Rhinolophus ferrumequinum: one gene and its partners. The protein of the gene in region 2 interacts with the protein of the main gene of each other region in a pairwise test. Links are inferred from orthologs where the notes say so. Each region holds a gene or a part of one and is shown on either strand. Other genes may lie near its edges. The genes, in order: BICD2, RAB6A and PMM1.

Region 1 (10,257 bases), on a different chromosome or scaffold from region 2:
ACACACACTCGAAGAGCCTGGCCTTGCACGGAAGCCTCCACTTGCCCTTCTCTCCTCAGCAGATACCTGCCCTCTAGGGACAGTTGCCAAGGCTCACAGCCTTGAGTGAAGCGTAGCTTCTTTGCATCTCAGTTTCCCCAGCTACAATGAACACAAGAAGGTGGTGACCCGCTGGCTGGTGTGGGGACTGTGGGAGTCAGTGGGCCGTCGGGAGGCTACGGCAGGAGCAGCTCAGCTACGGGGGTGAGGCCCAGGGGCAGCCCTCCCACCACCCTCCTCCATGGGAATAAACCAGCTCATGGCTGTGACTCCTGTGCAAACTATGGACAGGAGCCTGGTGCTGAGGACCCCTTCCCTCGCTGTCTGAGCTGCTGGGCTTTCCTCAGTCACTCCCACCCACCCCTACTTCCATCTCTCCATCCTCTGGGAGAGATTATAAGAGGGGTGGGATGGAGGATGCTTCCACCCGCTCTGCCCCGGCCTTTCATGTGGTTGCTGAGCCTGCAGGACAAGAAGGACGCCAAGGGTTGGGAGCTGGGTTCAGGCAAGTCCAGAGGCAGGGGCGGTCCTCCTGGCTTCCATGCATCCCATGGTTAAGAGCAGCGCAGGCTGAGCCAAGCTGGAGGCCCCAGACAGCAGACCTGGGGCCCTCTGGGAGACGCAATAGGGCCGTTCCCGACCTGACGAGGAGCAGAGGCCAGGTGGCTGAGGGGATCCAAGCCTGAGAGAGTGGAGAGGAGCTAAGGACACCAGCCAGCAGTCACTTACAAAGTAAGCACTTCCTGTGTGCCAAGCTGTGCCAGGCTCTGTGCCCCGCCCTTCACACACCGCTGCTCACTGAACTTGCTGCTTCACCAAGATATGCCCACCGCGGACAAGATTCAGAGGCGGCACAGAGGCAGGAGGGCATCCAGACCTGCCTTCCCACTCTCTCCGGAGCCGAGACGCATCGGCCCGCGCCTGGCCTGAGGCGTGTCCTCCGGCCCTCACGTCCCCACCCATGAGGACCACCCACTTAACCCACTTACAGCACCTACCTAAGCCCACCAGACTGGAGCTGCCACCCCAGCACACCTGCCCCCTTAAAGCTGCAGAGGACACAGCGTGAGATGTCCCACAGCCACTCAGGACGGTAAACACTGCGTGGATGACCAAAGTCCATCCAATTCTCTTCCCCACCATGGCAGGGAAGGGGCTCAGTGGGACTTGGGACTTACTAATCCAGGCTCAATCACTAGGAAAATGATTAGGCAAAATGGGCCAACAGGTCCCCCGCCCCACGGTGTCAGCAGGACACAGACAAGGAGACGCGCACCCTCGTCACGTGCAGAAGGCTGCGGGGCCGGCACTGCGGGCGCTCCCTTCTGGGCAGGGCCCACTGACCTCGGCCGGCCAGTCAGCTTCCCTCCTTCAGACACAGGATGACCTGCAAGTGCGGGGCCCAAGTCCAGGCAACTCCACTGGCAGCGTAATTTGTTAGTAACTGAATCCACTTTAGTTCAAGAAATAAAGTTTTAAGAGAATGAAGATGGTTCACCTCTCTACAGGACAAAAAAAAAAAAAAAAAGGACCTAACAAATATTGTCTATTTAAATCTTGGTTTTTAAAATACAAGTTAATATTTTCAGGTATGACACTGGCCAAAACTAAAGAGGTTGACAGAGCTTGTGCTGGCATGGGTGTGAGTGAACTGGTGCAAGCTTTCTACCGTGTTTCCCCGAAAATAAGACCTAGCCGGACCATCAGCTCTAATGCATCTCTTGGAGCAAAAATTAATATAAGAACTGGTCTTATTTTAATATAAGACCAGGTGTCATATAACATAATATAGTATAGTATAATATACTATAATACAATGTAATGTAACATAATAAGAGACCAGGTCTTAGATTAATTTTGCTCCGAAAGACGCATTAAAGCTGCTAGTCCGGCTAGGTCTTATTTTCGGGGAAACACAGTAGTAACATCACTGAGACTGATGCACCTTCCTCTGGCTTCTGCCACAACGGGGGGAAACTGAAGTTCAGGACACAGGGCCACGTGCCCAAGGCCAAATACCAGTGTGTGCAAGAGCCAGGAGGTGACAACAAACTAAGCAAGCAGGTGCCTGAAGAACACCTGCAGAGACTGACACACCTGCCTCTCAATTCCTCCGGGACCCGCCGTCTAGACACACCCCAGTAAGCAGAGCCAAGATTCTTGCATTGGCCAAAATGTTTGTGTCCAATAGAAACGAGCTGACAACCGAAAGGTCCCTTAGTGAGAACTACTTCCCTCTGGGACAGTAGGTCTGGTCTGTTCTTAGAGCGGACACGAACGTGAGCTTGTGAACACAGAAGGGGGCTATGAGTGCTGTGGGGAGGTAGGATTGGGGGGGTCTCCCCAGGGAGACCAGAATGGGGCTGAAGGTGCTCCCACTCCATACTCTCACAGTCTCCTGGCCTCCCTCCATCATGGTGCAGCGCCCCCCGCCCCCCCACACACCAAGATGGGGCCCTTGCAGGAGGAGCCACATATCACCTCTCTTGTCTAGATCCAGTACCAGCCAAGCGGGCTCAGAGGAGGCCCCAATACCTGCTGACAGGTGACAGGACCGAGGATCAGATGCGCCGCCACCTGCCTCCCCCAACCCGCACATGCTCTTCACTGCTGCTTCCCCTGCACACCTGCTCGGCCAGGCATGGATTTAAGCGTTAGCGTGGATTCATTCATTCTCTCCTCCCCACTTCAAAAGACGAGTCTACTGGTGTCCCCAGTGGGGCAGGGAGGCTCTGAACAGTCTGGACACCTGCCTGAGGCCTCTGGGAGCGTTGGTGCCAGGAGATGGGCAGTGGGGAAAACACCTAGCACGGTGCATCCCAGAACCAAGGGCCAAGAGGCCACCAGGACGAGGAAGAGTCAGCGGGGCAAGGGGCACACTGTCAGGCAGCGCACCTGACACCGTGCCCCTCCTTTTCAAGTATATGCCCCTCAAAACAACCCTTTTGGGTGGGCAATGCTGCAGAGGGAGAAGTTAAGGCCCCTGTCCACAGCCACGTCACCAGCAAGGGGGTAGAGCCTGAGTCCAAACCTGGGTGTCCCACTAGAAGGAAACGTCTCCCTCTCCGCCCCCCACAACAGGGCTAGAGAAGTCAGCAAGGACTGGGAGAAAAGCGGTGTTTAAACCATTAAGGAGAACTACTTCTTGGAAGGACTGTCCAGCTGTCCTGCTGCTAGGCTCTCAGGCAGCCTGATGGTCCCACCCCTTATCCCGGAGTGAAAACTGCACAGGAGACACAAGGCTCCCTCTGTGACAAATGCCCACAGACCTGTCACCAGTCTGCAGGGAAGGGTCTGGGAGGGCGGCCAGGACAGGAAGTGGGCGGGAAAAGCACTGCATCCCAGATAAGTGACTGGGAGTGGGGGTGGGTATGGTCAGAGAGCTGTGCCTGGGACAACAGGGGACCCCCAACCTGCAGCAATAACGGCCACATGCAAGGCACGCCCCTTTCCCAGCCCTTTTCTGGCCTCGGGGAACGCACTGGAACTACTGAAGACTGCTGCGCCCAGAGAGAAGTGATCTGCCTGGAGATGATGCAGGACCAGGCCTGGCTTTTCCCTGCATCCATCTCACGCCCCCATCCCCCTCACCCGGGAAGCCAAACGCCGCAAAGAACTCCACCCCACCGTGCTCGAGGCCTGCCACCAGGAGCAGGCAGACCGGCGACAGGACCCCACCGCAGACCTGGCCGGAGAAGGCCCGGGTTCTCTTGCACGCGCGCCGCCACCACACCTGGGGACCGCGTCTCCCTCCCTGGGGCGGAACCGAAGGGGGCGCAGCGACTCCAGGCCAGCTGTGCACGCCGACCCTGGACTCCCTGGGGCTGCTCGGCTAGGTGGTCGGCTCAGCCCAGCGTCGGGGGTCCGTTCGAGGGTCGGCCAGGCCCGGGTGAGGGGTCGGATCAGGGGTCAGGGCCGGGCGCGGCGCGAGCCGGGGACGCCAGAGGGCGTGGCGGCGGCCGCCCACGCTCCTCACCTCCTTGAGCTGCTCCATCTCGCTACGGATGGCTTCGTAGTCCACCTCCAGCTCTTCGAACTGCAGCTTGAGTTGGTGCTTCTCCTCGAGCACCGCCAGACCATATTCGGCCGCCTGGATCTTCTCGCGCGTGGTCTCGGCCAGCTCGTGCGACAGTCGCTTCACCTCGGCGCGCAACCACTCGGGCTGCGCCTCCATCACCAGCCGCGCGTACTCCTCCTCCTCGGACGGTGCCGACATGGTGGCCGTAGCCCGGCTCGCGTCGCTTCCACCGGGGTTCAGGCCGGAATCCCATCCGCTTAGCCACCGCCCAGCCCGACGGCGCCTGGGCCGCCGCGCAGCCGCAATGCGCTCCCCGCCGCGCGGGGCACTATGGGTGCGGTAGTCCCGCCCGCGGGACTACAAGGCCCGTTGTGCCACGGGCCCGCCCGCCCCAAACGGTGATTGGCCGGGTCCCACGCCGGTCGACCGTACCAATGCCATCGCCTCGGCCGCCACCGCCCAGAGCGTTGTGGTTGCCGTAGTCCCGCCCGTGCGCCAACTACAAGTCTCGTCATGCCCTGCGCCCGCCCACCCCCGATCATGATAGGCCGTTGCGGAGCCGGAAGCACTGGTATTTTCCGGGTCCCCATCCCTGGGCCGGTGAGGCGGAAAACCCGCGGTGGACGCACGTGTACCGGGAGTGCCGAGAGCCGGCCTCGCGTCCGTACCGGCCCACCTGGGGCGCCCCAGCTTCTGGGGGACTGTAACGCAGCACATGTTGAGTGGGAGAAATGGTCAAGCTCGCTGTTTGAAGTTTCTAGTAAAACGGACGACCAGACAGGCATTTTGAGGGAAATGCAGCGTTCAAAAGCACGCTGATTGAGACCTGCTAGCTCAAGGGGCGCCTTCGCCCCCCACTTAGTTTCGAAATGCTCCGACGTGTTTCCTAAGAATTCGACCTTTCCATGTGCAATCCAGTGATCCGATTCAGGACGGCCGACTCTGACGCCGCCCTCAGTAGCCACGGTTCCAGTTCTTGGACCGAGCCCTGGATCACGCCTCGTAAGGACGTTGTCTCCTTCTTCTCCATCTGGGAGACTTTCTCCCTCTGTCTTTTTGACCTTGACTTACGGAGGCTGCTGGACAGAGATGTGCACACCGGTGTATGTGTCCCCATGGTTAGATTGGGGTGTGCGCTTTGGCAGGAATATCCCGAGGCGGTGCAGAGTCTCAGCACGCAATTGCATCACTCAGGTCGCCACTGGGTTTTGCTTTTTACCCTGTGAGAAGGGTGACTCAGGATGGCCAGACTCAGAACCCCCAAACCCACCCTCCATGCCTTCATGTGGGACTGGCCTGAGGAGGGAGAGGGGAAAGGCTATGGGAATATGGGGCAGGTATTGACCATGGAGCTTTGAACTTGGGGACAGGGTGGTGGAAGGGGAACAGGCAGGGACTTTTCTAGGTGCTGACAGAGGACCTAGCACTGCCACTGTGGGCTTCCTGCAGGAGGGACAGCTGGTCTGGCCATCAAGGTTAGAGCCATGAGGGAGGAGCCATGATGTGTGACAGTGTTGGGGGACAGGGCATCAGGGAAGGATGCCCTGAGAAGGTGACACCCAAAGGATGCAGTCAGGCTGCCACAGTAAGGCTAAGAGAAGCAGGGTCACCCTTGTTGAGTTCCGACTGGGCCCCAACATGGATAGGAACCTGAGCTATATCATCTTGCTGAGTCCTCACGACACCCCAGGACATAGGAGTCACGCTATTTTCTTTGACAAATAAAGAAACAGCAGAATCCTCAGTACCACGCTCCAACTCCTCCACCCCTCATCTGCTTTCTCAATATGACAGCAAAGGATGGACCCGCCTCAGCCTCCTGCCGTCCCGACTGCCCCTTCCAAGGCCTGAGCCCCTTGCCTCCTGCCTTGACTACTGCAGCCACCTTCCCTCCGTCCTTCCCCAGGCCCCCAACCTTTTCTCTCACGGCAGCAGAGTGTCCTTAGACTCCAGGCAGGTCACAACCCGTCTCCTCAAATCCCTTTGAGTACATTCAGGCTGCTATAAAAATAAGACTGGGAGGATTTTAAACAGCAGACACTTGTTTCTCATGGTTCCAGAGGCCGGAAGCCCGAGATCACGGTGCCACAAGATGCAGTGTGGTGAGAACCCACCTCTTCCTGTGTCCTCACGTGCCAGGAGAGGTGCGGGAGCTCCCGGGGGTGTCGTTAGAAGGACACAAATCTCATCACGAGGACTCCACCCTCATGACCTCATCACCTCCCAAAGGCCCCACTTCTTACCAGCATCACCATGGGGCTCAGGATTTAATGAATGAATTGGGGGGGCAAGGCTAGTTATGGCCACTGCCCCCTAGGCCCTGCCCAGTCTCAGGAGTGGCCCTCCCACCTTTGTCCCCACCCCCCCTGGGCTGTGCTCCCCTTCCTGGCTTCATCTCTCTCGATTTCCTCCTGTTTTCTATGGCTTATTCACCTTTGCACCTTTGTCCACTCGGGAAAGTCAGCTCCAGGAGGGCAGGGGCCTCAATCCGGCCCAGCGCACACCAGGGGCTCCAGCCAGGCGCCGTAGAGATTCGACTTAGCTGGTGGACACTGGACTGTCATCAGTATCCCCCACTCCCTGGACCCCCACCCCTCACCAAGAGGAAAGCAGAGGAGAACAGAGGCAGCCGTGGCACGGGGCAATGTCTGGGACTGCCTGCAGTGTTCCCCCGAGAACACCTGGGTGACAGCCTGGGGGCAAAGGAAGTGATGTCCTCCCAGAAATCTGCTCTGCCTTTGTAAGCAGACTCCTGCCCTGGGTGAGAGCAGGATGCTCCTGTGCACAGGTGTCCAGGCTGGGGGCTGGCCTGGGTGTGGGCAGTTGGCAGCCTTGCAGCTCCTTCCTTGCTGTTCCCTCGAGAGCTCTGAGTGCCCGTGTGAGCCCTTCCTCCTGGAATCCTGTCTCCTCTCTGCCCATGGCTGTCCAGTTGTGGGCTGAGTGGCAAAGCCTTTCCTGTTAGGTGTCCTTGGCCAGTTGCCAGCACAGTGAATGGCATGGTGTCCCCCACATACTCATTCTGCATGCCATAGGATGAATCTTTGGCCCAAATGTCATTCACTCAATAAACTCTGTGCCAGGCCCTGGGGGTTCAGACACAATGATGATGGAGGTGAAGACCCCAATGTACTTTCTGAGCATTTACCCTGTTCCAAGCTGATCAAGCACTTTGCATGCAGGTGCCATCTCTCGTAAGCCTCACAAGTTACAAGGCAGGTATCACTGTTCTCACTATATAGGTGAGGAAACTGAGGCACAAAGAGATCACACACCTTATATGGGAGAAACCCAGAATCTGAACCCAGGTGTTTGTGAATCCAGAAACTGGCACCCAGCCTTCCCTGGGGGAACAGACTTCACCAGCTAACTCAACCGATGTACCTGGGGCACTCAGGAGCTCTAAAGGGGCAGTACTGGCTCTGGAGGACTCAACACGTCACAGAGTGGGTGGCAGTGGCAGTGACGGGGTTCTAAAGGAGGCTCTAGTGTCTGCCGGCACAGAAGGTGAAGAAGAGTATCCCAGAGAGGCAGAGGTGTAATCATGGACAAGCGTGGCCTGCAGGAGGGTGGGGGACGTGGTGAATTCAGGACATGATGGAGTGCGTGTGTGTCCATGTGTATATACATGCATGTGTGCGTGTGCATATGTGCATCGGGAGGTGACAAAGGGGAGCTAGTGGCATCAGACTGTAAAACTCTGCCCTAGCCAAATACTTGCATCATCAGTTTCACCCTGGTGTTGACCAGATCCACTTGGGGTGACACCTTTCAGTTTTCTGGAAGCAGGAAGGACCGCTGAAGAAAAGTTTGTGGTGAAAGGTGGTTATTAGGGATCTGGGCCTGAGAAGGAGAGAGGAAGCCGCTAGATAGGGCAGCGGAAGAAGCTGAACTTCGCTGTGCACTTGACCAAGACTCACCAGCCCTGTTCAGAGTTCACACCTGCCATGCGGGGGCTGCAGTCAGCTTGCTGGGGCAGGTTCCGGAGCAGTGATTGTTACAGCTTAGCACAATTTCAAGATGCATCCATGTTATAGCATGTATCAGAACTTCATTCCATTTTATGGCTGAATAATATTCCATTGTATGAGTAGACCACATTCTGTGTATCTATGCATCTGCTGATGGACACGGGTTGTTTGCAACCTTTGGTTGTTACGAATAATGTTGCTATACACGTTGATGTACAAATGTCTGTTTGAGTCCCTGCTTTCAATTCTTTTCAGTAGATATCTAGAAGAGAATAGTTGGATCAAATTGTAACTATGTTTAACCTGTTGAGGAACTGCCATACTTTATTTTCCATTTAAAAAAATAATAGCCATCCAGATGGGTGTGAAGTGGTATATGACTGTGACTGTAATTTTATCTCCCTAATGACTACCGATGTTGATCACCTTTTCATGTGCTTACTGGACATTTGTATATCTTCTTTAGAGAAATGTTTCTTTAAGTCCTTGACTATTTTTGAATTGAGATATTTTTGTTGTTGATTTGTAGGAGTTCTTTATATATGAGGTCACACAATTAAGTTCACAAACTCATTCTACAAAAAGTACTACATATGAGTACCTCATTGCTGAATATCACTACGGTCACCTTCGAAGTACTCCCCCTGGGAAGCTATGCACCGACGCCAGTGCCTAGTCCACCCTTCAAAGCAATTTTGGAACTCTTTTTCTGGAATGGCCATCAGAGCTGTCATCGTATTACACTTGATGTCCTGAATATTATCAAAATGTCTTCCTTTTAATATTTCCTTTATATTCAGGTAAAGAAAGAAGTCACTGGGGGCCAGGTCAGGTGAGTAGGGAGGATGTTCCAATACAGTTATTTGTTTACTGACTAAAAACTCCCTCACAGACAGTGCTGTGTGAGCTGGTGCATTGTCGTGATGCAAGAGCCATGAATTGTTGGCAAAAAGTTCATGTCGTCTAACTTTTTCACACAGCCTTTTCAGCACTTCCAAATGGTAAACTTGGCTAACTGTTTGTCCAGTTGGTACAAATTCATGATGAATAACCCCTCTGATATCAAAAAAGTTTAGCAACATCATTGCAACAAGTTCGCAAATTTAATTGTCAGACCTCGTATTCTAGATATTAATTCCTTATCAGATATATGATTTACAAATATCTTCTCCCATTCTGTAGACTCCCTTTTCACTTTTCGGAAGTGTCTTTTGAAGGAAAAAGTTTTTAACTTTGATAAAGTCCAATTTGTCTATTTTTGTGTTTGTTGACTATGCTTTTGGTGGCATATCCAAGAAATCATTGCCAAATCCAATGTCATGAAGATTCCCCACTAGGTTTTCTTCTAAGAGTTATATTTTTTTAGCTCTTACATTTAGGTCTTTGAACCATTTTCAGCTAATTTTTGTATACAGAGGAAGTGTCCAACTTCGTTCTTTTGTATATATTGTATATCCCGTTTTCCAGTGCCATTTGTTTAAGAGACTATCAATTCACCATTGAATATTCTTGGCACCCTTGTCAGAAATCAATCAACCTTATATGTGAAGGTTTATTTCTGGGCTCTGTATTCTATTCCATTGGTCTATATGTCTATGTTTATGCCAGCACCACACTTTTGCTTACAGTAGCTTTGTAGTAAGTTTTGAAATAGGAAAGTGTGAGTCCTCCAATTTTGTTCTTCTATTTCAAGATTGCTTTGGCTATTCAGGGTCCCTTGAGATTCCATATGAGTTTTAGGATGAATTTTCTATTTCTGTAAAAACTGCTGTTGGAATTTTGAATCTGTAGACTGCTCTGAGTAGTATTGTCATCATAACAACACTGTCTTCCAGTCTATGAACACAAAATATCCTTTCATGTATATGAGGTCTGACAATTAAGTTCGTGAACTTGTTGCAACCATGTTGCTAACTTTTTTGATATCAGAGGGATTATTCATTATGAATTTGTACCAACTGGACAGTTAACCAAGTTTCCTATTTGGAAGTGCTGAAAAGGCTGCCTGTAAAAGTTAGACGACCTGAACTTTTCACCAACAATTCATGGCTCTTGCATCACGACAATGCACAAGCTCACACAGCACTGTCTGGGAGGGAGTTTTTAGCCAGTAAACAAATAACTGTATTGGAACACCCTCCCTACTCACCTGATCTGGCCCCCAATGACTTCTTTCTTTACCCGAAGATAAAGGAAATATTGAAAGGAAGACATTTTGATGACATTCAGGAC
Region 2 (10,237 bases):
GGAGGCTTCATGTACTGAAACAACTCATCTTCATTACAGAGCACAGAACCTTAAATTTTTGATAAGACAATCTACCTAACTTCAAATCAGTTCTATGACCATGTCTCTAAATATCATTTGACATACGTTGAGGTACTATTCTAATAGCAAATAATTTAACAATAGTTTGAACAATGCAAAACAAATTTTGCTCAACTCAGAAAAAAAACTGTAAAATCCTGATCGGTCTTTTTTTTGTTTTAAGTGAGGGCTATAAATTATTAGGTTCTCTCTCCCACCTGCCCAGTAACTGCAATATCTCTGCATACAATCCAATAATGTAAGTATAAAATGTTAGTGTTAAACTCTTAATTGCATAAGGAAAAAATGTAGACTTCATTATAACAAAAATTAATATAGGCTACCTACTACCTTTGATTACTATTAGATTCAACCATCACTCATTCACTAAATATTTCTGAGTACATACTATAATCCTGGCACTATGAGAGACACTGGGGAAACAATGAACAACAACAAAAAATAACAGTTTTTAATCTTCATGGGACTTGCATTCTGTTTGTGGGAAACTGACAAAAACAAATACATAAAAAATAAGAATTATAAATGTGGTAAATGCTATTAAGGAAACAAACAAGGCTTTGCCACAGATTAGTCTTTGAAAGCCGAATTGTGTAATTCTAAAACCTAAAAATAAATAATTCATGAAGAGTTACATCAAGATTACATGGATTCTACAGACCTTTGCTAATGCACAAGAAAATTAGACACTGCCCATGAAAACAGAGATCGATCTTTCATTGTCAAAGATATTGGATGGCATTACTTAGCAATATAGTAGCCTCAAAAGATAATTAACCTCACAGGTCCACAGAGTTAAAAAGCATGTGAACGATCCTAAAAAATTCTAAGAGGAGCCTAATGAGACATGACAATTAAATGTAACGTGGTACCCTAAAATGAATGCTTAAACAGAAAAAACTAAGGAAATCTGAAAATAATATTGAATGTCAACTCTAATTGAAAAATTTAAAAGGGGGGTAAAGATCAATAATATTGTGATAGTGCAGTACAGTGTCAGATGGTTGCTGAACTTATGGTGATCACTTTTTTTGCACAGGGAATAAAATCAATAATGCGGTAATAACACTGGTTAGAGCTAGGTGGGTACTGTTGAATAACTATGATGTACACCTCAAACTAATATAATAGTGTATGTTAGCTGTATTTTAATAAAAAATCTTTAAAATAAATAAAAGAAAAAACCTAAGAAAATCTGAATAAACTACGGACTTCATTAATAATAATGTATCAATATTGGTTAATTGTAACAAATGTAGCACACTAATGTAAGATGTTAATAATAGGGAAAACTGGGTGGGGCTATATGGGAACCCTCTGCATGATCTCAATTATTCTATAAATCTAAAACTATTCTAAAACAACAAAGTCTATTTAAAAAAAAATCTAAGATGGCTTCAGGAATTGGGGAGGAAAAGAGTTATTAAAGACTTTTAAAAAGTAAGAAATGAAAAGCCATAACACTCTGCAATGTGAATTAGAACATAAATACTCAAGAAATTCAAAGGAAACCTGGAGATACTGGTTATAATCTCTATTCATACTAAAATCTTCTTATGAGAGATATTAATGGATTTTTCATGCAAACTAAACAGCTCTGTATCATAACAGAAGGCAGGCAATAACATCCCTAGAGTACACAATAAGCACTTTAGATCCTATTTATCAATAATGACCAATAAGCTATTATTTTATGTATGGCACTATCCTGAAATTACCATAAAACACCTGGACCAGGATCAACCTCATAGGTTAATCAAGTTACTTAAAGAAACAAGCTTATACCTACTTCAGGAAAATTCAAAAGCAAAGAGAAGACATCATTTTTCCTTGGTAAGGGGGAAGGGGAAAGATTATGTATGAAAGGAGAAAAATGATTTCTCAGGTCCAACTGGAAGCAATTTTGCAACTAGTATTAACCTACTTTAATGACATACAAAATAGTATAAATAGTTCAAGGTAGTAATAAAAGCTCTGAATTTATATCAGTTATCTTCTTTCCAACCAAAAGATAACAAATGTTTTCTATAGTCTAACCTAAGACACCAAGTGGGTAACAATGTTTGATGACTTGTGAGAAACTAATCTCTCAATGTGTGAATTTTAAAGATGGTCATGATAAGTGTGAGAAAAACAAAGAATGATAATCTCTAAATTGCCAAGTGTCAAGTTTGCATAATACAGCATAAAAATGAAATTACAAGAAGTAATTTTAGAGACAGCCATCACAAAACTAGGATCTTGTATGGAATACAAACTATAACAACAGCAGAAGCCTGACCAAGTAAATGAGAATTTCACTCATCAGATACTATGGAATATTAAACATAAAGGAGTCCTTTAGCAGAAGGGGTATATTACATATTTCGATCTAATTTTCAAAACTAGATGATGAATCTATTCTTCTTACTCTACTCCAATACTCCCAAAGGAAATCCACTAAACAAAGATATTTGTTATTCTCAAGCATTCTTTCACAGAAATCCTACATCTATAACTGGAAAATACTCAAGGATAAAAGGAATACTTAACATTTTCCCAGTAATTCCTGTATGCACCACCATGAGGAGAATCAGATACTGTTTCATGTTGAAAAAGGAGAGGTGAGATGTGAAAAATTCCAAGTAAAACGATCATGACATAGCATCTGGCAGAGACCAGAAAAGCATCAACACTGCCAAAAGAATTGTCAAGGATGAAAGTCAAGGGAAGAAAATGAGGTTTTCCAAAAAGCCACAGCCTAACCCAAGGGGTAAAAATTGCCACTGCCATCGCCAACCCTCTCACCCCTCAACCACTCCATCCTCAAGTCGCCTCCAATTCAGATATATGTCTTCTATAACCCAGACTAATTCCCCATCCAAGTGAAAACCATCCAGGAATTTTCTACGACACCCCCCCCCTTCCATGAGATCCGCACTTCTCAGGGCCAAGCCTCTGGGGAAAACAACGCCCAGATCCTACCCTCCATGCCCAAGGTTGAAGAGGGCCGGTTCCCAGGAGTGGGGCTTCCCGGGGTGGGCCTCACAGAGCTGACGAACTGGAATAAGAGCAAGGAATAAGGGTGGGGCTCAAGAAAGGGGGCTGGGGTGGGTGAGACCCGAGGAAGAAAGGGATGGACAGGAGGCTGGGCGGGGTGGGAAATAGGGAGGCAGATCGACGGAAGAGGGTCGGGCTGCGGGGAAAGGAGACGCCGGAGTCGGGCACGAAAGGGTCAAAATCCGACCGACGGATCAAGGCGAAAAGGAACCGGTGGCTAAGAGGGGTCGGCGAACCCCGGGAAGGGCTGGGGGTGGAACGAAGCGCTAAGGCGAGGCCGGCAGGGAGCCTCCACGGACTGAAGGGCCGCACTGGGGGCGGTGCGGGGAAGCTGCGGCCAGCCGCCAGGAGTGGGGTAGCCACGCACTCACCGCTCTGCTCCCCCAGGAACACCAGCTTGAATTTCCTCAGCGGATTCCCGAAGTCTCCGCCCGCGGACATGATGGAACCGGAGGAGCTGCCGCCGCTTCAGCCCAGAGACCTACCGGACCGACGCTACTCCAATCGGTTGATGAAAAGGGTGAAAGGAAGGGCGGGCGCCGAGCTCTCTCGGCCCCAGCAGGGCCGACGGCGGAGCAAGGCTAGGGGGCAGGACTGCTCTCCACAGATAGGCAGCCGTCGCCACCGCCTCCCCGCGGAGTCGCCTGGCACCGACCGAGGCCCGCGGCTGGGAAGGGAAGGAGATTGGTGTCAGAAGCAGTCAGGGGTGTGCTCAGGGTTCCCAAGGCTAGTGCTGTTCTGTTCTCAGCACCAGGCACGGAGAGTGAGGTGAGAGGCAGAGGGTGGCGGGGCCGGAGCCGCAGACGTCTGGAACCTCTGACACGCAGCGCCTCAGCTCCCACAGCTGCCGCCGCCGCAGGCCAACCTGCTGAGTGCGCGAGCCTCTGGCGCGGCGCTGGGCGAGCCTGGGCGCGAGCCTGCCGCCCCGCCGCCCGCCGGCGTGCGTGCGTGGGAGCGTGCGCGTGCGCGCCACAGCCAGCACTTTCCTGGTTTAGCCTGCTCTCCCGGCTCCTCCCGCGCCGCGGAGACGTCGGCAGGTTTGGTTTCGACTCGCGTCAGGGGAAGCAAGGAGGCGGGACGGAACTTGGGGAAGTGAGGAGGTGGAATAAGGAGGGGGTGGAATACGTTACGTATGGGATGAGCCAATCGCGAGAGACCAAAGGCGGGCAGGGACCGGAGTGAGGTGGCGGCGCGAGAGCGCGCGCGGCTGCCGCGCGGTGGAAAGCGTTGTACGGTGGCGGCCATGCGGAGTGTGGCGCGTCGCAGCCTGCGGGGAGGGGAAGAGGGGAGGGACGGAGGCGGGGCCGGAAGGTGATACATTGAACCCAGCATTGTACAGGTGGGGTTAGAGAGTCGTTAGACGTGTACTAGGCTCCTTTATCCTGAGCCCTCAGCCCTGTCTCACATTCCTCAGATCCGCCCTTCACCCGTGCACCTACCCACCTTCATCTTCTTAATCTTCTCACGGTATCTTACTAGGTACATGCTCTGCTGTTGCTCCCAGGAGTTTCATAACTACAGTAAGAAGCAGGGCCTCCATATTTTTGCAGATGAGGAAACAGGCTCAAAGGAAGGAAATAACTTAGAAAACCCACAAAAACATAAAGTGGAAGCCAGGTTTTGGTTTTTCCCCCCATTGAACCTTTGCAATCTCCTTATTGATAAGCCCATCACTTCCCTGGCTTGACCTGACTTGGTCTTCTGTGCCAGCCTTTGTTCCTCAGATAGTGATAACTCTAGGTGCCACCTTCTGTGCTAGAAAAGGATTTAGACGTAAAACAAACCCGTCATTTCACCGATGGTGAAACTAAAGCCCACGTAGGAAAACAGCTTTGCAAAAAGGTCACACAACAAATTAGAGGTAGAGCCTGTTCTTGAGACCAAATGTGAGGAAGGGGATATTTTAAAGATCATCCGTTCCTCCTAAAATAGGGCTTCTGAATCTACCGTTGGTGGACCTCTCTTAAATGAAATATCTGAAACGTGCATTTTCCTGTGGAGAGAATCATAGCATTCAGCAGATTTTCAACATAGCTCATGCCCCAAAAAATGCAGGCTAGTGTCACAGTCAAGAGAAGCCTAAGGAGATATGACAACTAAGTATAATGTGGATATAATTAACATGACAACTGAACATAAGTTTAAACTGAATGAGATTCTGGAACAGAAAAAAACATTAGGCAAAAACGAAGAAAATCTGAATAAAGATGGACGTTGGTTAATTATGATGTATCAATATTGGTTCTTTAATTGTAAGAAATACACTAATGTAAGATATTACATGAGAGGGAACAGTGGGGGAGAGGTATATGGGGACTTTCTGTACTGTCTGCTCAATTTTTCTGTAAATACAAAGTTTTAAAAAACACCTATTAATAAAAGATGAATAAATAAAAGGTTAAGAATCACTGAATTAGAGAAATTGGCATCTACACTTCACCGTACTTCAGCCATACTTGACTAGGCTATTGGATAGCATCCAAAAAAGTAATCTCTGCGCTTGAAGAGAACACTTTTAAAAACTGGTATCAAAAATACTTCCCAAGTTAATAATGAAACAATAAGTCCTTACATTTGTATATAGTATCTTACTAGTCACAAAACACATTTACATACATTTTCTCATTATTTGGAGGTTATTATTTACTTAGCTATAGAAATGGCAGTATCAAACAAGTAAGTGTCTTCTCAAACTAGGCATGAATTGCTGAATTAGAATAAATTAAGGGGAGGAACAGAGATTCGTAAAATATCCATTCTAGCCTATCAAGACAACAGTTATATCCCCAAGCCTCCGTCTCCATCAAAATTTACTAACTTCTGATTCCTCTCAGCTAAGTGGCAGAAAGATTTTGGAACATGCATCTAAAATGAAATGGTAAAAACCTGAGTTGTAATATGGACATTTGATTTTTTTTTAAAAAAAATTCATTTTAAAAATAGCTTGTCAGGTCTTGGGAGGCTTTTGCTACCAGTAACTCAGAACCCTGGCACACACAGAGAACACCCAATACCAAGAGATTATTTAAAAAGAAAACCTCTTTCAAACAAGAGTTGCTATTTTTTCTTTCTGATGGGTACCAGATTTTCATTATGTTTCCTGAAATAGCCTTTAAAGTAACATCTGAGGATTGGAACTATAATTACTTTGTACCTCCTCGGGAACTTTATGAATCAATTTCTCCATGCTGCTCTGGTCCCTATGGTCACCTAGAAAGGTGATGTTATTTCTATTATTTTGAAGAGAGGTGTGGTGTAATCTACCTCTTACCTCAGATGTTCGAATATTTTAACCTAGCATTTTGCACTGACACATATACAGCCTCATTCTTCTCTGAAGCTGCGTTCATATTTATCTGTGTAAATAATGTTTTGCCTTCAGAGCAAAACATATGGTCTAAAAGTTGCATATTAAGTGCTACACGTTCATCAAATGAAGAAATTACTTGGGAGAAGGAAATTAAAGAGGCTTTTTCCAAGGGCACTTTCGCCAACACTTTCACCTCCATAATTTTCTACACACTATTCTCTTTACCTTGAACACTTTTCCCTTCCTTCTTCCCTCCCCCCAATTCCTACTCATCCTTCAGATATCATCTCTAACAAGTCTTCAAGAAGCTTTCTCTGTCTGCTCCCACCTCCATTAACAGTATGAAGTACCCCTGCCTGTCCTCCCATTGTACCCTAGTCTTCCCCATCACTTCATTGTTATTAAGTGTCAGTCTTCCCCACCTGACTAAGCTCTGTGAGGTCCTGTATTTTCAACACTTGTAGAGTGCTTGCTACATAGTAAGCATGCAACAGATATTTGCTGAATAAATGAGAGAGATTATTTTAGCTTTCTTCAAAGGTTCAATGGAATTCGGGCACGTGGAGATGGAACGGCAAGAGTGTTTTGGAGAAAGAGAGCATCACTCAAAATCAGAGAGGACAACTTTTGACAACTCCAAATCGAAAGTACCTAGAGCAGTCTTCTTTGATAAATTTAAAAGGGATCGTTCATTTGAAGCCCATGGATGTGTCCAGGAAGCTACCACACAGAAATTGTAATATAACTGCAGCTTGTCTTTCTGCCTCTAGAGACACAAAGCTTCTTGAAGGAGGACTGAGATTTCATTGTATTCCTGTGGCAGACACTACTGTTTGTCCAACAATACACACACACTTCCACATTATATATTGGTAATGACAGATACTTTTCCAGGTTCCCTTCAGCTAAGTTATAGGCACGTAATTTGATCTGAGCCAGTGGCAGATGAAGAAATATCCCAGAGACTTAGAAGATAAATTATCTTCCCTGATGAAAAGAGATAGATGAGGAAAAAGTGCCATTTTTCAGCCATTGGATGTGGTTATATAAGGACAAGATATCTAGAACTAAGACATCTTGTGAACATTAATATATAATCCTGAAGACAAAAGCCAACCCATTGATGATGCTAAGCGGAAAACTTAAAGTCATCATTGAGCCGCTGTACCTCCCCTGGAACTGGCCTTCCTCTGGCTTCTTTTTAGCAAAAAAATAAATGTCTTTATATTTAGTAATGTTTTCACATATGTCTTTGTTATTGTTACTTGCAGCTGAAAGCATCTGATGTTCTCATCTTTTGATCCCTTTAAACACCTCGCACAGTTCCTTGAACATTAGGCACTCAATACTATGTGTGTGTATGGGTGTGTGTGTGTGTGTATTATATATATTAATATATGTTACACATATAACAATGTATATGATATACATAATACAGTAATAGCTACCAAACTGGAACTGCTTTTTTCTATTTACTGCTCCCTAAAAAGGATTTATTATTCTTGGAGAGGCAGGAAATCAATAGAAGGAGAAAAACTGTCCAGGGATTGAAAAGGATTGAAATCATATTGCTCATATTTGAAACAAATAATATCTCTGGCAGGAATTCAAATTGTATCAAATGTGAAGCCCTTCTACCCACTCTGCAGGTTATTATAATCATTGATACTAAAAATAATAGTGAGTCAATATACAAAGCATAAAAATAACAGATGCTCAATAATTCCAGGTGACCAATTAAAGGAGCACAACTAACACAAGGTATAAGGTTTAAACAAGTTTTAAGCAAGGTTTAAGCACGTCTCATTTTAAAAGGACTATAAGGGAAAAAAAGAGAGGGGAGGCCTCATGGCAAAACCTGTTTTCCAAATACCTTGACCTACAAGGACATGTTATGGGGGAAGTGTAAAATTTATTCAGCCAAGGAGGAGAAGGAGAAGGCAGTAGAACTTCAATGAAATGGTCCTTCCTGTGATTATAGACAATTTATAAGTTAAGTCAGAAGATATTTTTGCTACAGATTGATCTACAGACTCTATTTTTGATAATTCCATTTTGTTCCGTTCATGTGAATCATGGTCCTTTTTATGAATAATGTGATTTCTCAGTGCCTTAGATGTGGGGTGTTACTTTCAGGCTTTGAAATTGCAGTGGGGGAAGAGTTTGCTTCTTTTTATACTAATCCAGAATGTGTAATCCCTGACACATTGCTGGAGCTCTCCTCTCCTCGTACTCTATCCTCCACAAATAATAAAGTCTCCTGTAAGATATACAGAAGACTGAATCACTCTACCTGCTACTAAGAGATAATCACTCTCAGAGTAGAAGAGAACAACTGCTTCTATTGCTCTACATGCAAAGAACAGAGCATTTTAGGATAGAAGCATGAGACCAATGCTGTTTGCACTGAAATGCCAATGGACTGCACAACTAAATTGTAACTTGCCTAACATGCCACAAGAAACCCCCTTTTTGTGAACATTTCTTCACATTTTTGAACAGCACAAACTAACTAGGACTTTATACAAAAATCAAAGGGTATCAAAATCACTACAATAATTAATAGCTGGAATTATCCAGTGAGATAATAAACCACAGCATTATTCAGAAAAACAAACTTCCAGTTTTGGAATGGTAGATTAAAGATGTTTCTTCCCTCTTCCTTTTCTGAAATTGTTCCAGAACAAGAACAAAAAGTAAAAATGGAAACTCTGTCTTTGACAGCTCTAACCCAGAACTATATTTTAAATTGGGAGACAAAAGATAGAGAGCATTGGCAACTGACTAAACAGAGCATAGAAAGTGCTTACCGAAGGAGAAAGTAACAAGAAGCAAGCCAATCAGCCAGGCAGGCAGGAACTCCACAAAAGCTCAGGAATATGAAGCAGCAAATACCACAGAAGGTCGGGGTAAGGAAAGAGATCAAAAACAAGAGAATTGTATCTATATGAAGAGTAGTTACAAACCTATCCCTCTCTATGGAGGAACTGAACACAAGAAGCTCTAGGCTCAAATAATGAGACATACTAGAGGACTAGGGTGAGGTGCTGCCAGAAGATAGGGGGATTAGTAACCAACAGAGAAATAGGGTACTTGAACAACATTGTATACTAGCTAGAACTAACAGATATCTATAGAATGCCCCATCCAGTAAAAGCAAACTATATAATAACTCAAGTGCACACGGAATATTCTCTAGGATAGACCATATCTTAGGCCATAAAAAAAAAAGGCACAATACATTTAAAAGGACTGAAACCACACAAAGTATGTTCTCTAACCACAATGGAATGAAATTAGACATCAATAACAGAAGGAAATTTGGGAAATCCACACATATGTGGAAATTAAACAACACACTTTTAAATAAACAATAGGTCAAAGAAGCACAGGGGAAATTAGAAAATACTTTGAGACAAATGAAAAAGAAAACACAACATACCAAAACTCATGGAATACAGCAAAAGCAGTACTTAGAAGGAAAATTAAAGCTTTAAATTCCTATGTTAAAAAAAGGAAGACCTCAAATCAATAACCTAAACTTCCACCTTAACAAATTAAAAAAAGAAAGACAAACAAGGAAGCAGATGGAAGGCTATAACACTGATTAGAGCAGAAATATGTGAAATAAAGATTAGAAAAACCACAAAGGAAATCAATGAAATCAAAAGTTGAAAAGATTAACAAATTTACAAACCTTTAGCTGGACTAATCAAGAAAGAAAAAAACTAAAATTACTAAAATCAGGAGTAAAAAGGGACATTATTACCAAAAATACAGAAATAAAAATGATTATACAAATTAGAT
Region 3 (9,862 bases), on a different chromosome or scaffold from region 2:
CAGCTGGTGGCACCTTGTCCAGTTCCGAAAACTCGATTCGCTCCTCCAGGGTGCAGCTCCGGCCGATGGGCGAGATGTTCAGCATGCCATTCCGGAACTCGATGAAGGTCCCACTGGGGGTGAGGGGGGTGGGAGGGAGGGTGGGGAGCCAGAGAGAAGGACAATGGCACTGAATTCAATCCAGCCCGTCTGGACTTCACAGGGAACAGGAATCTACCCACCAATAAGTCTGGGCCCGGCATCTCTAGATCCCCTTGGAGACAGCCCCCCCTTTCCTCTTCAGGCCCAGCACTGGGAGGAAGAAATGACACAAGGCTGGATGGGGTCTCACCGCTTCTTCGGCAGTCTCAGTAGGGCCATGTAGCGGAGGCAGAAGTTGATCAAATCCTGCAGCAGCTCCTCCCCGAGGTGGTTCTGGATGGTCTGGGCAAGGAACACAGGGCATGTGGTGGGCATGGACAGAGGTACCCATGGAATGTCTCACTGTGGAAAAGTAGCCTGGGCTAAGGCCCCGGGGGCCACTGACCTGCTTGGAAAGCAGTCGTCCATACTTATACTGCACTGTCCCGTTCTCAGCAAACACGTAATCAAACTTCTCAATGACTTCAGGGATACACAGAGGCCAAGGGAGAAAGAGACAGCATGAGACCGGGCACCCAGAGCCAAGGAGAGAGATGATGCCCACACTCCTTGGTTTGGCCTTCAAAGCCCATTTGTTCCATCCCAAACCTGCTTGTGTAGCCTCCTCACTTCCTGCAGCTTTGGTTTTTTCCAAACAAGAAAACAAACTCGTCACACTTCTGGGCCTTTGCTCACGTAGGTGCCTCTGCCTGGAATGCCCGCCCTCTTTCCTCCCCCGCCACTCCTCCAAGATCCCCAGCTCCCTCCTCTGGAAGCCTTCCGGGACTCCTCAGCAGAGGGCGTCATTTCTGCTCTGTGCTCCCACAGCCCCTCTGGACACCAGCTTCCCTTTTGTTTTACAACTTCCATCACTGTGTTGTTAAGGCTGGTTGCAATGGGGCAGTTTTCAGCTCCGGATGCTATGAGAAGTGGCTGGATTGGGCAGGAGTGGGGAGGCACAGGGAACACGACCAGGAGGCTGTTGCAGGGTTCAGGTGGGAGGTGACCACCTGGACAATGGTGGGCAGTGGAGATGGAGACAGGACACACAGGGAAATATTTCGGGACTGGCTGATGGAATGAACAAGGGGGTGGGGCAAAGGGAAATTCAAGGAAGTCTCTCGTTTGAGGAGCTGGAGGCATTTTGCCTTGAGCTGAGATCAAGAACTCAGCTGAGACAGGGTTTGTGGGTCCAAAAATTTCCTGGGTGACTTCAGAATCTTCCCTCTGTTAAATGGGATAATCATTTAATCCACCCCGAAGCTTGGTTGTGAGGATTACATGAAAGGAAGTTCACACATGGTCATTTTCAGTACTGATTATGCCCATTTTAAAGATGAAGAAATCGAGACCCAGCAGGGAGAACTGAGATGTAAGGGCAGGATTCTGCCTGCTCTTCCAAAGCCTGGCACAGTGCCCAGCACATGATAGGTGCTCACTAAATGGTTGCTGAATCAGCGAGAGAAAGAAACATCTGGCTGTTCCCTCTACTTGCTTTGCTCCACAGAAGCAGGACTGGGTCTTTGAAGGCCCATGGGTCTAGGGCCTCCCACTACCACCCCGACTGTGGAGCTGGCTCTGGCCACCTCCTCCTACCTTCGTCCCCCTCTCCCAGCTGCTCAGCAATCTTGGAGTAGTCCGAGCCGCCCACCACGCCGATCTGCACTCTACTTCGCAGCTTCTGCAGGAAGGCAGCCACCTCAGGGTCAATTTTCTGCAGCGGGGCAAAGAAGCACAGGATTGGCTGTCCGCATGTCTGGGATCTCCACTCAGCCCTCACTGGGTGCTCAGGATCCAGGATATTCACCTGGATCTGAGGCCGTTCAAGGTTTAGAGCCCAGATCTTAAAAAATTGGATGCACTTGGGTTCATACTCTGGCTCAAGTCCCTCCACAGCAGGATGACCTCGAGCAAATTGCGTTGCCTTTGCCTTCTTTGTCCCATCTATAAAATGGGGATCACAGTAGCACCGGCTGGAGTGTGGGGGGGTCACTGTTAGGATTAAATGAAAATGAATAAACAATGAACCAGCGAGTGATCATGGGAAAAGATTCCCCAGCAAGGAAATGGAAACGAATGAGTTATAATCCATGTTTTCAAACATTCAGATATTCAAAGATGACAATATCAAGAGTGGATGACGATGTAGGGGAAGCAGGCACTCTCAAACGCTGCTGGTGAGTGAAAATTGGTACAGCCATTTTGGAAGATAATTTAGCAAGATCTATTAAAACTTAATATTAAAACTTAAAATGCACGTGTCCCATCACCCAGAATTTCCACTTCTCTTGCCCATATGTATATGGGGGTTCATTGGGGTATGGTTTATAATAATGGAAAACTGCAAACAACTTAAATGCTTGTCAATCAGAGAATGGCACATACCTGCTCTGAAATACAATCCTGTGGTTACACAGAGTAAGGCAGGCCTGTACTCCAATATGGGCGAGTCCCCAAACATGCTAATTGACAAAAGTGAGTCGCAGGAAGGCACGCACAGTATGATGTGTGATACCACTTATTTTTTTAAAAGCCTCAGAAGACACTGCTTAATATTTCCTCTGGGCAAACAGATCCAGATAAAGGTCTTGAAGGAAGCCACATGACAGGCAACCAGGTTATTTAGGGGCGGGGGTGGGATCCTGACATAATCAGAGGGGACTTGAGCTTTCTGTTATGTTTTCATTATTGACAAGAGAATGCATTCATGACTACATGTCTAATTAAAAATTAACTTTTAGAAAGCACTAAGGACAGGCCCTGGCAATAACATTGGTGGACAGCATTAACACACTATTCTTGTACAGGCTGTTGGGTCAGTGGAGCAAAGAGTGGGGGGAAAGGGTTGGGGCTGTTCTTAGACTCTGCCACCCTCCCTTCACTGTCATCTTTCTTCCATCCCTGAGGACCCTGGGAGCTGCTGGAAGGCAGGGTGGCCTGATTCCTTCCAATGCGCCCAGGGCTCAAGCCAGGGCCATCCGGAGGGGAGAGGATGGGGTATGCAGAACCTAAGAGGGGAAGCTAAGACCTGTGTTCCCATCAGCCTCTGCGCTGCAACCCAGCCCTATTGGTTCCCTGCTCTAGGAGATTCCTCAGTTGGTCCTTGTAACCTCAAACTGGAGGGTAGAGTACACTCAGGGCCAGCAAGAAAGAGGCCTGCTTATCCAAGCACCCAGCTAGTAAGGATGGGTCTGGAGGCTCATCCAGGGTGAGATCCAAAAGGAGAAAAACTGGGTGTGGAGCAGAGGTTGGAGGATCAACACCTGTGAGATGCCTTTAGATTCTTAAGTTTAGAAGAACTGCACTCCCACCCTCCCAGTGCCACAATATCCCCAATTCGACCAGTTTAGGCGTGAGAACTCTCACCTCGAGGTGGGCGGAGTCCATACTCAACAGAAAAGGTACAGTAAGCCCTCCCTCCCTCCTTCCACCGCTAGGGGTAGAAGTGGGTGAGGGGCTCAAGAAACTAGACCCAGGCCCAGGCCTGCAAAGGTCCGGTGGAATGGCTCCGAGATTCCCCGGCCCCCACCAGATGAAGACTCTGAGGTTTGGGTGCGCTCAGGGGTTCCCAGTTTGGAACCTGGGTTCAGATGCCAGTTTCGGGATACTGGTGCGTCCTAGGGCAGAACTGGGTGGAGTGGGAGCTCCGGCTGGTGTGGTAGGGGCGTCCCTGAGCAAGGCCTTGGCGTGTGGAAGTCTGGCGGAGGGGTAGGAATGGAAGGTAGGCCCCCGCTTGCAGCCTCCTCCCTCCAGAATCCGACTCAGCTCCGATGCTTCCGTGCAGAACGTGGGCACGGACGCTTCGGGGTTGTGACGTGGGCGTCCGGGTGCCCATCATTCCCAGCGGTCGGCCCCGGGGTGTCAGGGGCCGGGTACTGCTGCATCCCACACTCAGTCTCGGGGGTCCGGGTTACGCCGCCGCAGTCCCCATCTTAGGCCTCCGGGTGTCCGCGTGACATTCCCGACCCGAGATTCCGAACGTGGAAGCCCTACCTGGCGAGCCGGCGTGAGGGTCCCATCCACGTCAAACAGGCAGAGGACGCGCTCCTTCCTGCGGGCGCCCTCAGCGGTCACAGCCATGTCTGCAGCTCCGCGAGCCCGGCGGAGTTCGCAGGATGTGACCCGGGAGCCGCGTCGCGAAGACACTGATAGGGCGGGGTCTGGGAGGGGCAGGGTCCGCAGGAAAGCCCGGGTGAGCCAAAAGCGGAGGGGGCGTGACCAGGGCGTGGCCTCGGCGGGAGGGGAGGGCTCGGACGGGGCCTGGGCGGACTGGTAAGGATGACTCTGATTGCACCAGGCGGAGAAGGGGCGTGGAATATAGCGGAGCAGAACACGGCAGGAACGGTCTGATTGGTCCAACCCACACGAAGGCGGGGCAGGCCAGGCGGGAAAGGAGGGATAGAAGCCGGAAGAGAAGGGCGGGGCCGGAGCTGGATCGTGGCGGGATGATTCTGATTGCATCCGGTGGTGGAGGGGCAGGACGGGGGCGGGACCTCGAACCCGCAGTGCAGTGCGGGGTGGAGCGAGGGCGGGATTCAGGGAGCCCGGGCTGTCCTATCTTCCCCCGCCTGCCATCAATCACTCTATGACTCGCCCCTCCCTGCTAACGCCTTTGCCCTACAAATCTTGAGCTTTAAGAGATCACCTAATGGCCTTTGCTCAGGCTCTGGACTTTGCCAGATGGCCCTCTCCTCCCTCACTCCTCCTGCAGTTATTCTGTCTACGTCATAAGGCTCAGTTCACGGTCCACCTCCTTCAAGAAACCTGCCCTTGGATCCCTCTTCATAACTGTTTCACCATCATATTGACTTTGGAGTCAGTTCTAGACTGCCTTCCTAGCTCCACCACTATGTGACTTTGGACAAGTCACTTCACTTCTCTAAGCTTTGTGTCTCCATGTGTGAAATGGTAAGGACACCACCTACTTTGCAGGGTTGCTTGCACATGAAAAGAAAAAAGTGTAAAAGAGCCCACATAGTACTTGGCACACTCCAATTTGTATAGAAGTGCTTGATACTGTTACTGATTAAACAGTTATTGCCTGTCAAGTCTTAAAAGTGTGCAGATCCTTTGAGCCAGCAATTCAACTTTCAGAAAATAAGAAAACGGGGAAAAATGGAGATTGGTTAGATTAACTATGATCCATCTATAAGATGAAGCCGTGAAAATTTGTATTGTAGAATATTTAACATGGAAAAAGCATGATTCCATTTTTTCCCCCGTCTTCTGCCTCCCACCCACTCCAGTTCAAGCCATTGTTTCTCAGTCTAGTTGGGTAGGACACAGCTCCCTGGCCCATGCTGGTTTATGAGCCTTGCGTTCTCCCAGGCTGAGACAGTCAGTCGCCAGTCTGCTGCTCACAGCAGCTCTCACCTGCTGCCTGCCAGTCACGATGGCTACCGGCCGGTCACGATGGTTGCCGGCCACTCACACTGGCTGCCGGCCACTCATGCTGGCCACCGGCCGCTCTGGTATGCACATGGTAGCCCACTGCCGCACACAGTGCCGCACACTGCTCATGGCAGCCCAGCTCCAGGGAGAGGCATTGTTTTGTTCACAATCTTAGCTGTAGAGGGCGCAGCTCACTGACCCATTTGGGAATCTCCGTGTTAGGAGCACCGGTTCCAACCACCTGAGCCACCGGGCCGGCCCAATTCCATTTTTGTAAGAGAAGTAGCAGGCTGTCTCTGGGTGTTGGTGTCATCGTGAATTTCATAGATTTTTTCCCCCCTTGGAAGTGTGTTGACTGCAGCTTCCTCTTCTCCGGGGCTCTCTATTTCTGCCTCCTTCCACACTCCAGAGCCAAAGGCCCAGCTCCAGATCCTCTGTACTCCCAGGGGTTGCCCTTGCTTAAGGCTGTGCCTGGGAAGGGATTTTTGCTGCATTTACCATCTTTACCCTGATGCCTGTGATCAACTCTGGCAGTTTTGGTCCTACAAAGACACACTCATCCACACACCTACGAGTGGTACCACTGTCTACAATACTTTTTTTTTTTTTTTTTAAGATTTTATTGGGGAAGGGGAACAGGACTTTATTGGGGAACAGTGTGTACTTCCAGGACTTTTTTCCAAGTCAAGTTGTTGCTCTTTCAATCTTAGTTGTGGAGTGTCATTCAGCTTCAAGTTGTTGTCCTTTCAGTCTTAGTTGTGGAGGGCGCAGCTCAGCTCCATGTCCAGTTGCCGTTGCTAATTGCAGGGGACGGGCAGCCCACCATCCCTTGCGGGAGTGGAGCCAGCAACCTTGAGGTTGAGAGGATGCGCTCCAACCAACTGAGCCATCCGGGAGCTCAGCGGCAGCTCAGCGGCAGCTCAGCTCAAGGTGCCGTGTTCAATCTTAGTTGCAGGGGGCGCTGCCCACCATCCCTTGCCGGACTCGACGAGTTGAACTGGCAACCTTGTGGTTGAGAGCCCACTGACCCATGTGGGAATCGAACCGGCAGCCTTCGGAGTTAGGAGCACAGAGCTCCAACCACCTGAGCCACCGGGCCGGCCCCTGTCTACCATACTTTTGATCATCTCTCTGTTTTTCTGTTTTGGTAGCTGCCCTAAGGAGACCACTGGAGTCAGAGTACAGGAAACTGCAGTTATATGGTCCCTGCTAATTATTAAAATTTGAACAGATCACCTTCCCTCACTGAGCCTCAGTTTCTTCATCTACATAATGGGGACCTAATCCTCAACTGATAGGACTATAAAAGGTAAACTATTCATAACTGATACTTATCGATCTCTTACGATGTGCCAGCCACCATACCGGCTACTGGACCATACATCTTCATTCATTATCACAGCAGCTCTAGGAGGTGTTATTGTCTCCACTTAATGAAGAAAAAGGAAAGGGATGTGCCCAAGGCTGCACAGAGCACCTATCAGGCTGACAAGGCCAAGACCAGGGTGAGTGAGGTACTGGCTGCAGGCACAAATTTAAAGCAGCACCAAAATTTAAAGCAGCATCAAGATAAATAGCATTTAAATGTAATATTTTTTAAAATCAAAATTAATGCAAAAAAATTCATGATGAACAAAATATCAAAAAATGTTTTTAAAGACAGGATCAATAATCGTACTGAGGAGTCATATTGGAGCCTGAGGCAAAAGGAAAAATCTATCTTTCTTTCCAGGCCCTGCAGCAGAGTTTGGTTTATTCATTAACCAGACGTCTTGTGCCACTGTTCTGGGTCCTGGGAACACCATAGGGAACAAAACAAGAAGCTTTTGTTTTCTGTTGGATGCAGACAGCAAACAAAACCATCTCCATGGGAGAGAAGACCAAGCTCATTACCCTGCACCTCCTGCTCCACCCAGATCTGGCCTCTGGGACTCTGGCCACTGGCAGGGCCCACCTAGTCTAGAGCCTGTGGGTGGAGCTGGAACTGCCCCAATTAGTCTCTACTATCTCACCACTGACACCTGTTCCATTGCTTAATAATTTCTAGGGAAGTGGTTAAATGCAGATGCCTGGGCCCCACCCCGATGCTGGAATCCGGAAGCCGTAGGATGGGGCTCACAGGGCAGGACAGGTGTTTGTCTCCTATGGATTGGGTCCACTACTCCAAAGACAAACAAAGATAAGCTCTCAAAAGTAGCACACCTAACCTTAGACCTGTAGTGAACCAGTTTTCTTACAAATACCTTTCACAGTCTCTTCCTGAATTCTCACCTCAACCTATTTCAGTGATGAAGACACTGAAACCCAGAGAGAGGAAGTGAATTGCCCTGACGCACAGACCCAGGAGGACTAGGTGTGGTGGCCCTAGTGGCCACTAGTATGTCTCTTTAAGAGGGAGGCTCATCCCTGGCAACTGGTGTTCAGATGGGGCCCTGGGGAGGCCCTGGGGAAAACACGGAGCAGGGGAAACTGGGACTGGGAGATCTGGCCAGAAGGGTGTTTCCAGAGCACCCAAGGAAGCCAGTCCTGAAGGCAGGGAGCCTGAGACCCCAACATGGCAAGATCCTGCTCAGGAAGGAAGACTAGGCTCTTCTGGGCCAAACAGTTGGCTGATGTTTGCAGGTTAGTGACTTCCATGTTTGCTTTGGGCAGTGTAGCTCCTACCTTGGGCGCTTCACTTACTTTTGCCAGAATCCTGTGAGATGGGTACCATTATACTCAATTTCCAGATGTGGTACTGACACTAGAGAGGTGACGTGGCTTTCCCCGTCACACAGCACAGTCAGGATTCACATTCACAGGACTCCCCTAAAGCCCATGCTTTTCCCTCGGCCCTTGGTGGAAGACGAAGTGTCGGCACGTTGTTGAATGAATATAGGGGGTGTTGGCCCTCTTTTTCTCCATCTGGAGTGTGACCTTCTGAAGGCAGGCAATCCCAGCCTGAGGGGCAGCCTCGGTGTAGTAAGTGTACAATTAGACTGACAGTTCCAGGGCCTGGCTCTTCCAGCCAGGTGACCTTGGGCAGGTCCCTCCCACCCTGAGTCTGTTCTTTATCTATAAATGGGACTGACACTGACAGCCTCTCTGGGCTGTCAGGAAGATGAGGGTGCAGGGGAGGAGATGAGCTTAAAGAGGCCCTGCAAAAAAACAGGTCAGGGCTGGTTGCTGGTTTTAATTCCGTCTTGGTTCAGGGGCAGTGGGAGGTTGGGGAAACGGTGAGTGTTGGCTGTTTTTTCTCTAGTTTTCAAAATGCCTACAGTGCTTACATCATTTTCATAATAAACAAGTCTGTTGACTTTAAATAAGCTAAAGGGCGTATGTTCAGAGGTGGTGTTTGTGGAGGGGGCGGAGCCTGTTGCTGGGTTGGCACAGGCCCCATTGGGGCTCCCTCCACCAAAGCCAGTGGGGACAGAGGTGGCTCAGCATTGCCCCACCTGGGGGTAGGGGGCAGGGACAGCGGTCTCCTGACACCTGTGGTTAGTGATCTCTGTGGATCAGAGCTGAGCCCTGAGAACTGTAAGACATTGAACAAATCACTCCTCATCTCTCATCCCAGGGGTGGGGAGAGGACTCACTGGGAGCCATAGTTTTCATTTCACAGATGAAGAAGCTGAGGCCCAGAGAGAGGAAGGTCCTGATGAAGGTCTTTGAGGCGGAGGTTCAGTCCAGGTTCAGGGGTTTTTATGACCCCTCCCCCCCCAACGCTGGCCTACAGGACTGAACTGGTGGATCGATTCACTCTGTGATGCCGGTTCTATGCCAGGCCTCGTGCTGAGCACGCAGGTGGTCACAACCAGGCCGAGCCACAGCTGGTGGGAGAGGAACCCACAGGAGGGAGGGAGCGGCTTCGGGTGGGGAGAGGTCAGGAAGGCTTTGCAGAGGAAATGCTGGTATTGGGCCTTTAGCTCCTGGTAAGGTGTTGCTCTGAGGATAGGTGGGGAGAGGGGATCTAGGTCCAGCAAATCGTAAGTGGAGGCCGGAGGTGGAAACCTCTTGTAGTGGTAGGGACCTGCCCTTGCAGCAGAGTGGCAGTTGGAGGGGTCCTGGGACAAGTTTGAGAGGGGCCTCTCGCATGGTTCCTGGGGTACCCGGGAGGAGCCGAGTTTGGCGGTGGGCTGGGTCGTGAGTCCACAGCGCCACCTGTAGTCCATATCTCCCCCTGCAGCATGACCTTGCCGGGCTCTCTTCAGCCAGGGAAACGGTGGGACAGGACTCCAGGCCCCCGGGGCAAACTTGTAGACAAGTCCCAGAACCCCTGCCCCTTTCCAAAGCAGCCAGGCTCCATGGTCAAGGGTTCACGTTCAGGGATGTGCCAGACGCCTAGTGGGTTCTTTGCCTGCTCTCTTAGGCC

The links.
Region 1: the proteins of RAB6A (region 2) and BICD2 interact in binary tests that used the Homo sapiens proteins (3 or more experiments, as listed by UniProt). The link is inferred for Rhinolophus ferrumequinum from reciprocal best matches to the Homo sapiens genes RAB6A and BICD2.
Region 3: the proteins of RAB6A (region 2) and PMM1 interact in binary tests that used the Homo sapiens proteins (3 or more experiments, as listed by UniProt). The two-hybrid records come from large-scale screens. The link is inferred for Rhinolophus ferrumequinum from reciprocal best matches to the Homo sapiens genes RAB6A and PMM1.

What each region holds. Positions count from the first base shown.
Region 1 is NC_046295.1:740,923-751,179, forward strand, and holds the start of BICD2 (protein bicaudal D homolog 2), read right to left. Parts: upstream 4,490-10,257; 5' UTR 4,256-4,489; coding exon 4,016-4,255; intron 1-4,015. UniProt on the Homo sapiens protein: Acts as an adapter protein linking the dynein motor complex to various cargos and converts dynein from a non-processive to a highly processive motor in the presence of dynactin.
Region 2 is NC_046294.1:48,922,415-48,932,651, forward strand, and holds the start of RAB6A (ras-related protein Rab-6A), read right to left. Parts: upstream 4,075-10,237; 5' UTR 3,562-4,074; coding exon 3,492-3,561; intron 1-3,491. UniProt on the Homo sapiens protein: The small GTPases Rab are key regulators of intracellular membrane trafficking, from the formation of transport vesicles to their fusion with membranes.
Region 3 is NC_046293.1:6,430,244-6,440,105, reverse strand, and holds the start of PMM1 (phosphomannomutase 1), read right to left. Parts: upstream 4,314-9,862; 5' UTR 4,201-4,313; coding exon 4,114-4,200; intron 1,835-4,113; coding exon 1,717-1,834; intron 604-1,716; coding exon 527-603; intron 424-526; coding exon 332-423; intron 114-331; coding exon 14-113; intron 1-13. UniProt on the Homo sapiens protein: Involved in the synthesis of the GDP-mannose and dolichol-phosphate-mannose required for a number of critical mannosyl transfer reactions. In addition, may be responsible for the degradation of glucose-1,6-bisphosphate in ischemic brain.